2 linked regions of the Diceros bicornis minor genome follow. The protein of the gene in region 1 binds, or shares a complex with, the protein of each later gene. Links are inferred from orthologs where the notes say so. Each region holds a gene or a part of one and is shown in the gene's direction. Other genes may lie near its edges.

What was found. The genes of interacting proteins can lie anywhere in the genome.
Region 2: OBSL1 (region 1) and CCDC8 share a complex: the UniProt entries of both Homo sapiens proteins name them as parts of the 3M complex. The link is inferred for Diceros bicornis minor from reciprocal best matches to the Homo sapiens genes OBSL1 and CCDC8.

Annotation. Positions count from the first base shown.
Region 1 is NC_080776.1:9,826,240-9,833,081, reverse strand, and holds the start of OBSL1 (obscurin-like protein 1), read left to right. Parts: upstream 1-3,830; 5' UTR 3,831-4,121; coding exon 4,122-5,133; intron 5,134-6,842. Other genes in the region: INHA (inhibin alpha chain), read right to left, coding at 148-980, 2,755-3,025. UniProt on the Homo sapiens protein: Core component of the 3M complex, a complex required to regulate microtubule dynamics and genome integrity. It is unclear how the 3M complex regulates microtubules, it could act by controlling the level of a microtubule stabilizer.
Region 2 is NC_080773.1:21,981,510-21,989,096, reverse strand, and holds the start of CCDC8 (coiled-coil domain-containing protein 8), read left to right. Parts: upstream 1-4,585; 5' UTR 4,586-5,266; coding exon 5,267-6,763; 3' UTR 6,764-7,587. UniProt on the Homo sapiens protein: Core component of the 3M complex, a complex required to regulate microtubule dynamics and genome integrity. It is unclear how the 3M complex regulates microtubules, it could act by controlling the level of a microtubule stabilizer.

The DNA of each region.
Region 1 (6,842 bases):
ACATGTTACCCATGGGACAGCGGTGGGACGGGGGAGGAGCCTTCAGGCAGAGAAGTGGGAGGAAGGGGGAAGTAGAAACCATCAATCTCCCGAACTCTGCCCTTCCTCCCAGCTGATGGTGGGGGCTTGGCCCCCCGCAGAACTCTCTTAGATGCAAGCACAGTGTTGTGTGAGAAGGTTGGGCACCATCTCGTACTTGAAGGAGTAACCTCCATCCGAGGTGGTGCGGACACGTAGGGGTCTCATGGTCCCCGGAAGAGAGGCACAGCAGGCCTGGGCCCCTGGCACCAAAGAAAGGGGCTGGACAGGGGTGGGGGAAACCCCAGGGACCGGCAGGGGCAGGTCTGGTGGGGCAGGCAGCCCGCAGCCACCGTGACAATAGTGGAAGATGAAACTGGGAGGGTGCACGATCCACCGGTCCCAGCCCAGTTCCTGGAAGGAGATGTTGAGAGCCGCTCGGTGGCAGTTGGCGTGGGCAGCCGGTTCCTCTGGAGGCCTCTGGAGCAGGCGCAGCGCGGCGGGAGACCACGGCCAGGGCAGTGGAGGAGTCGAGCGCCGGGCTCTCTCCCCTCCACTGGGCGGCCTGGCCCGTGTGTGGGCCACCAGGAAGGGTGTGGCCTCAGGCCGGGCTGAGCAGGAACAGAGAGGACAACGCAGCAGCAGCACCAGGACAGGGCGGGTCAGCAGAGGAAGGGCCGAGGCGGCCAGGTGCAGCACAGCCCAGCGAGGGGGTGCCTGGCCCAGTGACATGGGCACAGCCATGGGACTCCCGGATGACAGTGCCAGCAGGCCTAGCAGGGGCCCAGAGCTATTAGAGGCTGCTGTGCCCTGCCTGTCCAGTCCGGTGTGGAACCACAGCTGGGCCGAAGTCACCTGGCGGCTGCGTGTGTGCTGGGACGGCCGGAACACATACGTGAAGAGGCCCTCTTCAGCCTCCTGGGCCCACTCACCAGCAGCTGGCATATCCTCACATCTGGCACCTACAGGAGACAGAGGGAAGGGAGAGGGCAGGCCTGACTGGCAGACTGGGGAGCCTTCCTCCTCGACAGAAGGGATGTGGCTGCCGTTCATGAGCCTGCCAACCACTCCATTGAGTGCTCTGCCAACTTGGGGCCTCCCTCCAGTCTTGGGAGAACTGACAGAGGCTCCCCATTTATTATCTCATCATTAAAGGACTTAAAAAATACAAGATGTTGCCAACTTCTCTCTGAAGTGGTTTTACCAATTAATATTCCCATCAGCCGTGTGTCAGAGGCCCTGCCGCTCTCTACCTTCACCAACACTTGGAATTGTTCGTTAGACTTAAATTTTTCTTCATCTGGTAGTGTGAAATGGTACCTTGAAGGGTCTGTACACAGGCATTTGTTGTGTTACTCTTTATATCTTTTTACATGTTAGAAATAGTGCCTGATAGGGGCCGGCCTGGTGGTGCAGCGGTTAAGTGCGTGTGCTCTGCTTCAGCGGCCCAGGGTTCACAGGTTCGGATCCCAGTCGCGCACCAATGCCCCGCTTGTCAAGCCATGCTGTGGCGGCGTCCCATATAAAGCAGAGGAAGATGGGCATGGATGTTAGCCCAGGGCCAATCTTCCTCAGCAAAAAGAGGAGGATTGGCATGGATGTTAGCTCAGGGCTAGTCTTCCTCACCAAAATAAAAAAAAAATAGTGCATGATAAATTCTTTAAAATAATTCCACTTTTAATGGATGGCAACTAGGATTTTGGTGGTGAACACAATGTAGTCTAAACAGAAATTGAAATATAATGATGCACACCTGAAATTTATATAATGTTATAACCCAATGTTACTGCAATAAAAAATTTAATTAGAAAAAATAATAATTCCACTTTAAAAAGACAGGTTAACACCAAAAAGAAGAAAGAGGAGAAGAGAGACTATAGCTCAGGATAGAGGGCAGCACGTTCTAAGAAAGTGCAGCTGGCATCCTGACCCTGATGGGTACATGGACCACAGTGAACCATCATGGATCAGCACCAATAGGACTGGCGGTTAGAGCTATAGTGTTACCTGGATTATCTTTATCTATTATAAACCTCACAACAACCGATCCATTTTGCAGATATGGAAACTGAGGGTTAGAAAGGTGAGTGACATTTAACTTAAGCGGCCAGGCTGGGACTCTGCCTGATCCCAAAGCCACACTTTGACTGACTGTGCTGCACGGGGAGTGATGAGCAGGGAGGCAGCCGGTCCTCTCTAAGGGAAAGGTGGGACAGATTACAAGAAAGTAGATCCAGAGGAGGGCTTTATTGGTTCGGTCCATGGAACATGGGGACACACACAGGGAGATGAGAAGGGAATTCAAGAGAAGATGGACCGGTTTCCCAGAAAAGTTTCCCAACTGCTCTTTCTCCTACATCTCTGATATCTCTCAAGTCTCAGCTACTTGGGGCTAAAGGAACAAGGTTTGGAGCAGGGAGCAGAGGCAGAGAAAGAAGGGAAGGTGGCAAGAGGGGGCTCATGCCCAGATATCTCCGTCTCTAGGGACTTTTGGTCTCCCAGACGAATATCTCCCAATGCCTCCTATGTGCCATGCACTCTAGATACACCATCTCACTTAATCCTGAGAGGTAGGCATTATTGCCCATGTTACAGATGAAGACACAGAGGGTCAGGGAGGTTTAGTAACTGGCCCATTGTTGCAAAGCCAGTTGAGTGAGACCACCCTGGCTTCCAAGCCCACACTGAACCATGCTGCTTCTCAAAGTCGCCCTCCAAGATCCCCGCCCTCGTTACCTGAAGCTGGGAAAAGGATGGCCTGGGATACATCCTCCTCCTCGGGCTCAGAGGCCCTCCGCACGGAGCCTCCCAAGGCATGTCTTCGGGGCAAACGCCTGACTCCAGGATCCCCACCTTCCCCGATCACTGCCGGGGGCCCCAAGGCGTCCAGGAACAGGGCCCTCACCTTGGCCAGGACAATTTCCCGGTCCAGCTGTGACCCCTGGCAGCCATGCCCAGCCTGTGGAACCAGGAGCAAGAGGAACAGCAGTGGCGGCTGGGACACCATCGCTCACCTGGGCCTGCCAACAGTGACCCCACTCCCTGCCCTGCGCCCCTTCAGTCAGGGTCTGCCCAGGGCCTCCCCACTCCCCATCCCACCACCCGCCCTCTTCTACCCTTCTCCCTGGGTCTTCCCCAGCCCTTCCCACACCCTGCAGTCCGAGTTGCCCCTGCCCGTGGCATTGAGACCTCCTATCTCTGACGCAGATGTCTGTGGCCCTGAGCCTTATCTCCCACTCCCGCCAGGAATGTGGGGGAGGGGGCTGGTGAGGGTTTTCACCCCAAGTGACCTGACCCACACAGACAAGCCTTCCCCCTACACACACTCACTCCACACACACACACACACACACACACACTGCCAGTCACATCGGAGCACCCAGCACAGAGGTGACATCAGGTGTGACAGGAGCCTGGCAGCTGGGGTCTGTCAGCTCCTAAGAGGGTTATTTGTCGGGAAGACAGAATGTGCCAGCCCCTCAGACCTTCTGGGGCCCCTTTCACCCAAGCAGCTGCTGGACCAGTCCTGGGGGAAGGGCTGAGGCTGGGGCTAGAACTGGGGCTAGGGCGGGGGGCAGGTGGTCCCGCCTGCTCTATACTTAGCCTGGAGGAGCCAGCCCGGGCTCTTGTCCTCCAGCTGTGTCATCAGAGAATATTTTTGGGATTGGCAGCTGCAGGCGACTCTGCCACTCAGGCCCAAGCCTGGCGGGCGGCTGGGGACCTGGCGGCTGGAGGGGGGAAGGAGGAGGGGAAAGAGGCCCAGGCTGGGGGAGGGGGCTGGGAAGGGAGGCTCTCGGGAGCAGGAAGCCAGGCCGCGGGCAGGGGAGGCTGCGGGGCCCCTCGCCGTAAAGGCAAACAGGAAGGACTGCCCCCTGAGCTGCGCGCTCCGGGCCCGGGATCGCCGCCGCCGCAGAGCTGCAGCTCCGGGCCCAGGGTAAGGAGGCGAGCCGGGAGCGGGCGGCCCCGGGAGAGCTCGGCGGCTCCCCGCGCCCCGTCCCCAGATCCGCCCCGCCTCCCGGGCTCCCGCCGCCGCTCCGGGCCTCCGCGCGCCCGCAGGCCGCCCGCGCTGCCCCCGCGCCGCGGGGCCGTCTGCGGCCGGCGCGATGAAGGCGGGCTCGGGGGATCAGGGGAGCCCCCCGTGCTTCCTGCGCTTCCCGCGGCCCGTGCGGGTGGTAAGTGGCGCCGAGGCCGAGCTCAAGTGCGTGGTGCTGGGGGAGCCGCCGCCCACCGTCGTGTGGGAGAAGGGCGGGCAGCCGCTGGTGGCCTCGGAGCGCCTGAGCTTCCCGGCGGATGGCGCCGAGCACGGCCTGCTGCTGAGCGGCGCGCGGCCCACCGATGGGGGGGTCTACGTGTGCCGCGCCCGCAACGCGGCCGGGGAGGCCTACGCGGCGGCCGCCGTCACCGTGCTGGAGCCGCCGGCCCCCGAGCCCGAGCCCCAGCCCGCCGAGCGCCCGCTGCCGCCGCCCGGGGCTGGAGAGGGCGCCCCGGTGTTCCTGACCGGGCCCCGGTCCCAGTGGGTGCTGCGGGGGGCGGAGGTGGTGCTGACGTGCCAGGTGGGGGGCCTCCCCGCGCCCACGCTGTACTGGGAGAAGGACGGGATGGCCCTGGACGAAGTGTGGGACAGCGGCCACTTCGCGCTCGAGCCGCGCCGCGCCGAGGGTGGCCCGGGCGCGAGCCTGGCGCTTCGCATCCTGGCGGCGCGGCTGCCCGACTCGGGCGTGTACGTGTGCCACGCCCGCAACGCGCACGGCCATGCGCAGGCCGGCGCGCTGCTCCAGGTGCACCAGCCCCCCGAGAGCCCCCCCGAGGACCCCGACGAGGCGCCCCCGCCGGTGGTGGAGCCGCTCAAGTGTGCGCCCAAGACCTTCTGGGTGAACGAGGGCAAGCACGCCAAGTTCCGCTGCTACGTGATGGGCAAGCCCGAGCCCGAGATCGAATGGCACTGGGAGGGCCGCCCGCTGCTCCCCGATCGCCGCCGCCTCATGTACCGCGACCGCGACGGCGGCTTCGTGCTCAAGGTGCTCTACTGCCAGGCCAAGGACCGCGGGCTCTACGTGTGCGCCGCGCGCAACTCGGCAGGGCAGACGCTCAGTGCCGTGCAGCTGCACGTCAAAGGTACTGCGGCGCCCCCAGCAGCCCGGGCCTGGAGAGCCCTCCAGCGCCCTCCGGGGTCCTCCTTACTCCATCGCCTCTCAGTGCCCAGCGCCGCCCAAAAGACGGTGGGGGAGGGGAGACGGGCTATTAAAATACAATTTCCAGCCCTCCTCCCACCCCCCAGGGATTCAGATTTAGCAGGTCTCCAGCGTACCCAGGAACTTCTTAGCAAACCTCCCCAAGTGATTCTGAGGCAAGTGGTGGAAAACTACCCTTGATAAGCGGCTTTAAGGAGTGATTGATGTACAAACCCAGAGGGGCCTAGATCTCTTCTACTCCAGTGGTTTTCAACCTCTTTATTAATTCACTCCTTCTTCCCCAATGGAAACCCCATCTGGGGCCCCGATATATAAAACAGATAAAAGGAACATTTTATCCGTGTAAATTTCTAAATCCAAATGTATAACACATACCTCTAAAGCCAACCAGTGAGAACAAGGGGGCTATTTTATTGATTACACTCATTTTAAGTGGAGGCTGTGTTCATAACCGGCTCTCCTCTGTGAGCCTGGGGAGAAACACCTGCCTGCAGGCCTCACATTGAGAAACTCCTGATTCACCCCAAAGGTAAGCTTGAGGGAGGAAAAATACTCTGGCATTTTTGACTATTCTTTCACTAAACTGCTGTTCAGGTTTGAAAGAAGAGGAAAAGAAAGGAGAGGAAATTTATGTTTCAAAGCTGAGTCACCAGCAATATCTAATAAATGCTTACGTTGCTGGTAAACAGAAAATTCAGGGGTAAAAAAGAACACCCCAAACTCACACCGGAAGTTAAAGCTCTCCATGATAGGACTTCATCACAAGTCGAGGGATTGTACATTTTCTAGTTATTGCCTAGCTTTTTCCCTCAGAGGAGAAAAAGTTGGCAAATCTCCTGAGCTCTGCCTGGCACGCCGTCAAGCACGAGGCACCTGTGGTGCCGTGGTGGCCTCGCTGGTACAGTTTGATGTGCACAAACTGGCCGGGCCGCGTTGAACCCTGACTCCATTGGGAGAGAAGCCCAGCAGGAGGGCAGAGCTGCAGGATGAACATGCTTCTCCAGCAGCCCAAGTGAACCCACTGGTCATTTCTGTCATTATGCTTTCTTTTTATAAGATGCAATTTTGAAAATGGTTAAAGTTGTTAAAAATGAAATTCCACTCAGACCCTTGCAGAATTTGTGAGGTGCCTCTGGCAGAGCATGCCAAACTTAACCACTGATTTTCACAGTGTGAAAATCACTAATGTGGGGCCGGCCCCGTGGCCTAGTGGTTAAGTTTGGCGTGCTCCACTTTGGCAGCCTGGGTTCAGTTCCCGGGTACAGACCCACACCACTCGTCGGTGGCCATGCTGTGGCAGTGACCCACATACAAAATAGAGGAAGATTGGCACAGATGTTAGCTCAGGGCCAATCTTCCTCAGCAAAAGTAAAGAAAGAAAAAGAAAATCACTAATGTGGTGCATCTCTTTCCCCCACTTTACAAGTAAGGAAACGGAGGCCCAGGATCATTAAAATGGCCTTGCTCGGGTGATGTGGCTAGTGAGTGTCAGGGTCAGATAAGAATTTAGGCCATCTTCTCTTCTGGTGATTTTTCTGTGATTCCACAGTGCCTGCCAGCTCTGGGAGAGAAGCAAACGGCATGAGCTAATGTGGGTTTAGGCAGCTCAGGATGCCAGGAGGAGTCCTTCGG
Region 2 (7,587 bases), on another chromosome or scaffold:
TGCTTGAGGAAGATTGGCCCTGAGCTAACATCTGTGCCAGTCTTCCTCTATTTTGTATGTGGGACGCTGCCATGGCAAGGCTTGATGAGCGGTGTGTAAGTCCATGCTCGAGATTCAAACCCACATACCCTGGGCCACCAAAGCGGAGTGCATGAACTTAACCACTACACCATCGGGCCAGCCCAGGGGAGATTTTTTTTTTAATGCAGTACCCCATCCCCCACCCTAAGATGTTCTGATCCTGTAGGTTGGACTCTGGAAACTAATTTCTAGAATTCTCTCCAGTGATTCTAATGTGCAACTGTTTTGAGAATCATGACTTTAGAGAAATGCGCCACGTGAATGAATGAATGAATGAATGATGTCCTCAAATACATGGCTCCTCTAATTGCTGGCTTTGCCTCCATACTCAACAAACAGCCTTCAGATTTGGGATGGGGCGGGGAGGCGGGCAGGGGTGACCCAACTATATGGCAGAGTGTAGACCACAGTGCTGCTTCCTGCTGTATTTGCTGAGGACCTACTGTGTGCTGTCAATTAACCTTCTGGTATCTGGTCCAGAGGTGGGGACAATTTATATCCTGTCCATTCTAGACAGGGATCTGATTTCTGGATGTTGAAGACTGAGGACAAATCTGGTGACTGTGCCAAGGTTACAAGTGTCACCTGGGAGAGAAGACTTCGGGGACTGCCCACCCACCTTGCTCCCCACTCCACCCCACCTCAGGCAACTGGGCAAATAAAGGAGGCTTCCAAGGGTGGGGTTGGAATCTAGGGAACCCGAGTGAGTCAAAGCTTGGCTCTGCCATTTCCTGGCTGTGTGACCTTCTTTGGCCTCAGTGTTTCTCATCCGGAAAATGGGAATAACACTTGCTCAGGAGGGGGTGTATGGATTAAAAGAGAAAATGCACAGGGGCAGGGGCAAAGTAGATGCTCAATAAAAGTGAATTATCATCAGTGTTATGACGTTCCAGGCTTGTGGACACACACAAAGGTGCAAGCTGTCACGGAAAAAGAAAACTGCGATGGATCTGCATGCACTGATTCAGAAAGACTTCAAGACATGCTATTCAGGGAAAAAAGCAAGTTTTCTAGCAATAGATCTAGTGCAAGCCCCTCATTCATTCATCAAATATTTTGAGCACCTACCCATGCTGTTCTAGACGCTGAGAATTCAGCGGTGAGCCAAACCAGACAAATATCTCTGCCTTGGTGGGGCTAATGCTCTAACAGGGAGAGACAATAAATAAATAAGAAAATACCAGGAAGTGATAAGTACTGTGATGAAAATAATTCAGAATGATGTGAAAAATCCCCAGGGGGTAAATTCTAAAGTTACTAAAATATACTAATGTAAGCATTTGTTTTTTCCCTGAGAGATATTTAACTGTGGCTACTTTAGCGGGAGAGGCTGGGGACTTGCCGCTGGGGGAGGGAGACGTTTTTCATTGTACACCTTTCTGTAACTTAAGCATTTTCTTCGCATATGTGTGCATCACTTTTATTATTATTATTATTGTTTAAAATGGCAACCAAGTGGAGCTGGGTAGAGAGATTAGGGCCAAGTTTTGTTTTCTTCCCTCAATCTTTTCTGATTTTTCGTTTCTTTTAAACAAATAGAAAAGCAGGAGGTGTAATTATCGTGGTTTTTTTTTCCTAGGACGGCTAGAGAAAGATCTTGCCCGCCAGCGATCTGGGAATCTCAAACACCCCCAGCGGAACTGCTCAGGGGTTGGCAATTTTTATGAGCATGTTGAACATTTGAGGTTTTCATTTCTAGGATAATCCTTCCTTCTCCCACCAAAAAAAAAAAAATCCTTTTACCAATATCTCATCTGGGAGGTCTTTCCTGCTTGGGAGGTGGTGTCTTTATTTCTCAGACCTGGATTCTTTAGCCAGAATTTCTCAAACGGGTGTCCTAGGGACTTTTAGTTTGGGGCCTCTGCGAAGCAGCTGTTCAGGGAAGCAGATTTTGGGGATCAGGCGGAAGCAAGGGATAAGAAGCCGATAAGAGGCTCTGTCCCGCCCCCGCCCTCCGCCAGCGCCCCGCAGTCTCAGAGAGGACTCGCGCCTAGCAACGCGTCTCCTCGTTGCCATGGAGACGGTTAGGAGGCGGGGCGAGAAACCGCGCATCAGGGAGGGGCCGGGTGGCGGGAGGCCCCGCGGGAGCTGAGTGCGGGGGCTGGGACGGCGCCTTGAGAAGGAGGAGGAGAAAATCCAGTGAAGCCTGACGGCCCAGCTCTGCAAAAACGAAAACAACCCGAATGAGCCGATAATTGTGCAAAGGCCTCCCTGAGGCCTTAACCGCCCCTCACCCCCCAAGCATCTCCCTTCCTTCTTTTCCTCTTTCCCTTCCCTTTCTTTTGTCTCCCATCCCTCTGTCTCTAAACATCTGCCTGGTTCCTTCAGGAGTTAAATAAAACCACACAGCGTGAGTTAAACAAAATTATACGTGTTCATTTTCATCCCTTATATTAAAGTCATCAGTGTACCTGTTTTGTTGTGGTGGTTGGAATTTTTCTTTTAACAGTTGTATTTCACTATAATTGGCATTTAAAAACTACCCTGGAAAGGGCTCATGGCACAGAAAGGGTTAAGGATTCCTGGGCTAGAGGGCCCTGGAGAGGGTGGAGGCCACTCTTTGAGTTTAGCGGGGAAAAGGGAGGCAGAATGACCTCTCTAAAAAGGTGAGATTGGAGCAGAGAGAGATTGCCAAGAGGCGATGCGGCAGAACATTTCTGCGTGGAGGGAACAGCATGTGCAAAGGCCCTGAGGTGGGGGACAAGCCTAGTGTGTTGCAGGAACAGCGAAGACGAGGCAGGTGTGGCTGGAGTGGAGTGAGCGAGGAGAGGAAGAGAGAGGGAAGTGGCGAGATCTTGTAGGGCTTCGTGGACCATGGTGAAGACTTTGGCTTTACTCTGAGTGCGATGGAGGATTTTAAAAAGAGTAGAGACAGATCTGACTTAAGTTTTTGAACGATCCCTCTAGCTGCTGGGTTGGGGATGATGTAAGATGAGAGTGAAGGGCACCTTACCCTCTATCTCTGAGGATTCATAACAACAGGACTGTTCAGCACATCGCAGGATGTCTGGTTCCAAGGAAACCCTCTGTGCAAGTTAACTGTTATTATTACTCTTACTCTTGCCTTTGTTGTTGTTGGTTTTTTTGTGGGGAGATCAGCCCTGTGCTAACATCTGCCAACATCTGCCAATCCTCCAATCCTCCTCCTCTTCCTCTTTTTTTTTTGCGGAGGATGACTGGCCCTGGGCTAACATCCGTGCCCATCTTCCTCTACTTTATATGGGACGCTGCCACAGCATGGCTTGCCAAGCAGTGCGTAGGTGCGCGCCTGGGATCCGGCCCGGGAACCCCGGGCCGCCGCATCGGAGCGGGCGCACTTAACCGCTTGCGCCACCCAGCCGGCCCCTGCCTTTGTTGTTGTGCATGTCTTTGCTGAGCTGGCTGCCTCAGAGTCACCTGGGAAGTTTTGCAAACTCTGGTCCCATGTCTTAGAGATCCTGACCTGCTATATCTGTGGCTGAGTCTGAGGGCTTTTCGTTTAATTTATGTGAATTAACATTTTTGATTGCTAAAAATCCAAGCAATGCAAAAGAATATAGAGTGGAAAGCATATGTCTCTGCCGCCTCTGGGAGTCCGCAGTCCCCTTCCCAGAAACAGCCACTGTGGGCAGTGCCTGTACATGTGACAAGCACATGTGCACACCTAGGCCCTACACACACACACACACACACACACAGACTGTTTCAGATTCAAATCCAGATTCCATCCTCCTTGGCCGTGTGACCTTGAGCAAATGATTTTATATCCTCAGCTATAAAACGGGAAGGATCAACATATTACCTGTCTCATAAGGTTAGGGGGAGGATTTCATGAGTTAATTCATAGAAAGCTCTTAGAATGGTGCCTAGGACATGGAAGTGCCCTGTAAAACATGACTAGCCTTCTTTTTCATAGCTGCGTAGTATTTCACTATCAGATTAGACCATAAAATTGAATCAGCCCCCCCCATGAACAATTAGGTTCATTCATTGGCTCAAAAATATTTATTGAGCACGAACTTGTGCCAAGCCCCACACTAGGGGCTGGTGCACTAAGACCCTGGTACCAATTTCTCCCCCCAAATGTATGGGGTAGGTACATAGGAATTGCGGGTACCAGAAGTCACGCGATTTTAAGTGGTAATATGTAGCGTGTATGGCCTTCAAAAGGACGGCCTTATTAGCACACCCACCTCCGGCGCTTGGCTGGAACCCGCACGTTTAGGGTGGCAGGTTTGGGAAAGGATGAGAAACGACGGTCTGTGTCGGGAAAGGTGCTGACGTGGGCCTCGGAGCGCGTTCCGCTTGGAAGCGGTGGCCCCAGCGAGGTCCGGGGCGCGGCCACACCCCTGTGCGGGAGGGGAGTGAGGGCGCCCCGAAGGGAGTGGACAGCCCCCCTGTCAGTCTTCCCGAGTCAGGAGTGTAAGCTGAGAAGGGGGAAGGTGGGCCTCGTTGGAGAAGGGCGAGGAGGAACTTCCTGCCCGCGCGCGCTCCTCGGCACTGAGCGCGCGGGCTGGGAGGCGGGACGCGCCTGAAGGTCAGCCTGGCCGGGGGTGGCAGCCTGTCTAGGGGCGGGAGACCCTCCTGGGGGCTGGGCTGCGGCCTCCAAGTGCTTCGGCCATATTGAATAGCCAGCCGTCTTTGTCTGCAAAGTCCTCTCCCAAGTTCCAGGCGCGTCCCTGGTGCCCGGGGCAGGAAGAGCCACGGGCAGCCCGTGCGCCCCACCACGTTGGCAGCTCGCGGTGGGCTTGGAGCTCAGGACTGACCTCACCCCGGCTCACGTAAGCGTCCTGGGAATCGATTCCCACCAGCCCTTGGGGGGAGCCAGACTTGGTCAAGACCGGACTGGCTGCAGGCAGAGAAATTGGGAAGTGTTGGTTCATCCCTGGCTGGGGAGGCGAGACTTTCCAGGCTGCTCTGCTGGGACCTCACTCCCACCCCCAAGACTAGGGGCTTCGTGTAGTTTGGGCTCGTGGCCCCCACCCCATATTTCACCCTGGAGATCTTAAAGACCCTCGAGAAGAGCCATGTGGGGGGCTGGTTCCCTTGGGGCTTCCTCCCCTCCCCCGACTGCCTGATTCTCTGGAGCGTCCCCGATGTCTGCAAAGACGTGGATTTGGACGTCCTCGTGGACGCCTTGAAGCCCGTGGGGACCTTTAAGAAGATCGGCAAGGTGTTCCGCAGGGAGGAGGACTCCACAGTGGGGATGCTCCAGATTGGGGAGGACGTGGACTATCTGCTCATCCCCCGGGAGGTCAGGCTGGCCGGGGGCGTCTGGAGGGTCATCTCCAAGCCCGCCACCAAGGAGGCGGAATTCCGGGAGCGGCTGACCCAGTTTCTGGAGGAAGAAGGCCGCACCCTCGAGGACGTGGCCCGCATCATTGAGAAGAGCACCCCGCACCCACCCCAGCCCCCCCCAAAGCCGAAGGAGCCCCGAGGGAGGAGAGTCCAGCAGATGGTGACCCCGCCCCCCAGGCTGGTCGTGGGCACCTACGACAGCAGTAACGCCAGCGACAGCGAGTTCAGTGACTTCGAGACCTCCAGGGACAAGGGTGACCAGGGCCCCAAAAGCCCGGGATGCCGCAGGAGGGTGCGCAGAATGCCCGTCAGCTACCTGGGCAGCAAATTCCTCGGGAGCGACCTGGAGAGCGAGGAGGACGAGGAGCTGGTGGAGGCCTTCCTCCGGCGAGGGGACAAGAAGCCCAGCGCCCCACCACCCCGCCGCCGCGTGGCCCTGCCCGTGCCCGTGTTCGACAACAGCCCGGAGCCCCAGCTGTCCAAGGCGGACAGGTGGCGGGAGTATGTCAGCCAGGTGTCCTGGGGGAACCTGAAGCACAGGGTGAAGTGTTGGGCGCCCAGGTCCAGCCCCGGGGTGGGCGAGGCCCAGCAGGCCTCAGCCAGGGTGGAGAGGGAGGGGGCAGCGGCGCTGGGCAGCGCCCATCACGTGGGGAGCGCGGGAGACGGGCGGGTGCCTGGGACCCCCCCAAGGCGATGGAGGCCCAAGATGAACTGGGCCTCGTTCCGGCGGCGCAGGAGAGAGGCAGCCGCATCCACAGCTCAGGTGGCGGAGGCTGCAGAGGATCAGAGGGCGGAGGCTGCAGATAATCAGAGGGCGGAGGCTGCAGCTAATCAGAGGGCGGGGGCCATAGGTGTCCAGAGAGCAGAGGCCCCAGCTGTCCAGAGGGCAGAGGTTGCAGATAATCAGAGGGCAGGGGCCCCAGCTGTCCAGAGGGCAGAGGTTGCAGATAATCAGAGGGCAGGGGGCCCAGCTGTCCAGAGGGCAGAGGTTGCAGATAATCAGAGGGCAGGGGGCCCAGCTGGCCGGAGGGCAGAGGTTGCAGATAATCAGAGGGCAGGGGCCCCAGCTGTCCAGGGAGCACAGGCTGCATCTAATGGGGCAGAGGCCATAGCTGACCAGAGGGCAGAGGCCCCAGCCATCCAGGAAGCTGAAGCCTCAGCTGCCCGGGGGGCCACGGGGGCAACCTCAGGAGCCAGGACCCGGAAACAGGTCAAGACAGTGAGGTTCCAGACCCCCGGACGCTTTTCATGGTTTCGAAAGCACCGGAGAGCCTTCTGGCACACTCCCCGATTGCCAGCCCTGCCCAAGCGAGTCCCCAGGGCAGGCGAGGCCAGGCACCTCAGGGTGCTGAGGGCCGAGGCCAGAGCAGAAGCAGAGCAGGGAGAACAAGAAGACCAGCTGTGAGGTGAGGGCGGGGGGCCGCGGGGCACCCCACCACCTGCCTCTCGCACGCTTGTCAGAGATGCTCTCTCTGCCTCCACGCTTGAAGATGGAGGTGGGGAGAGGGGCAGACAGCGCCCCTCACATCTCCACCCAACACTCCCCTTTCTTTTCTTGTTCAAGTTTTATCTTTCATGTGTTGATTTTTTAAGTACAGACTCCTGTAGTAATCCAAAGAATGTAAAGAAAGAAACCCACCCAATGGGGTTGCATCGCCCACGTTTTTAACTTCCTCAAATGCAACCCTAGGTGCTCAGCTTGGAAAAGGGACAGAGGTGGGGGAGAAATGCTCCTTGAACTTGGCACAAGCCAACTTGCAAATAAAAACATTTACAAACTGACTTCTTGACTTCGGACCTGGCCACTGAAGAAACCTCCGGGGTGCTTTGGTCACGCCCTGGTGTCGTGTCTACTCCCACTCTCCATGATGCTGACACTCTGCCAGCCATCCCCACGCCCCTGGGTTCTGCCGGCTAGGAGTCTGGGGTCTGCGGTTCACACACCTCACCCGACCCTGATTCCCAGGTACAGAAGAAGCATTCCGGAAACATGTCCAAAATGCAGATTCTGGGGCCCTTCATGCCAGAGCTGTGGATTTGCTTGAGCTGGCTGTGCAGCCCTAGAATCTCTGTTGATCACGCCCCACAAACATCTGGGGCATCTTGGCCCCTGGACATGTTGAAAATCATTGCAATGGGAACAGGCCCCCAAGGCGGGTTGTGGTGTAGCACTGTGTAGGGTCCTGTGACTGGTGCTTGCCATGGGGAGAGATCGGGTTGCTAAGGCCC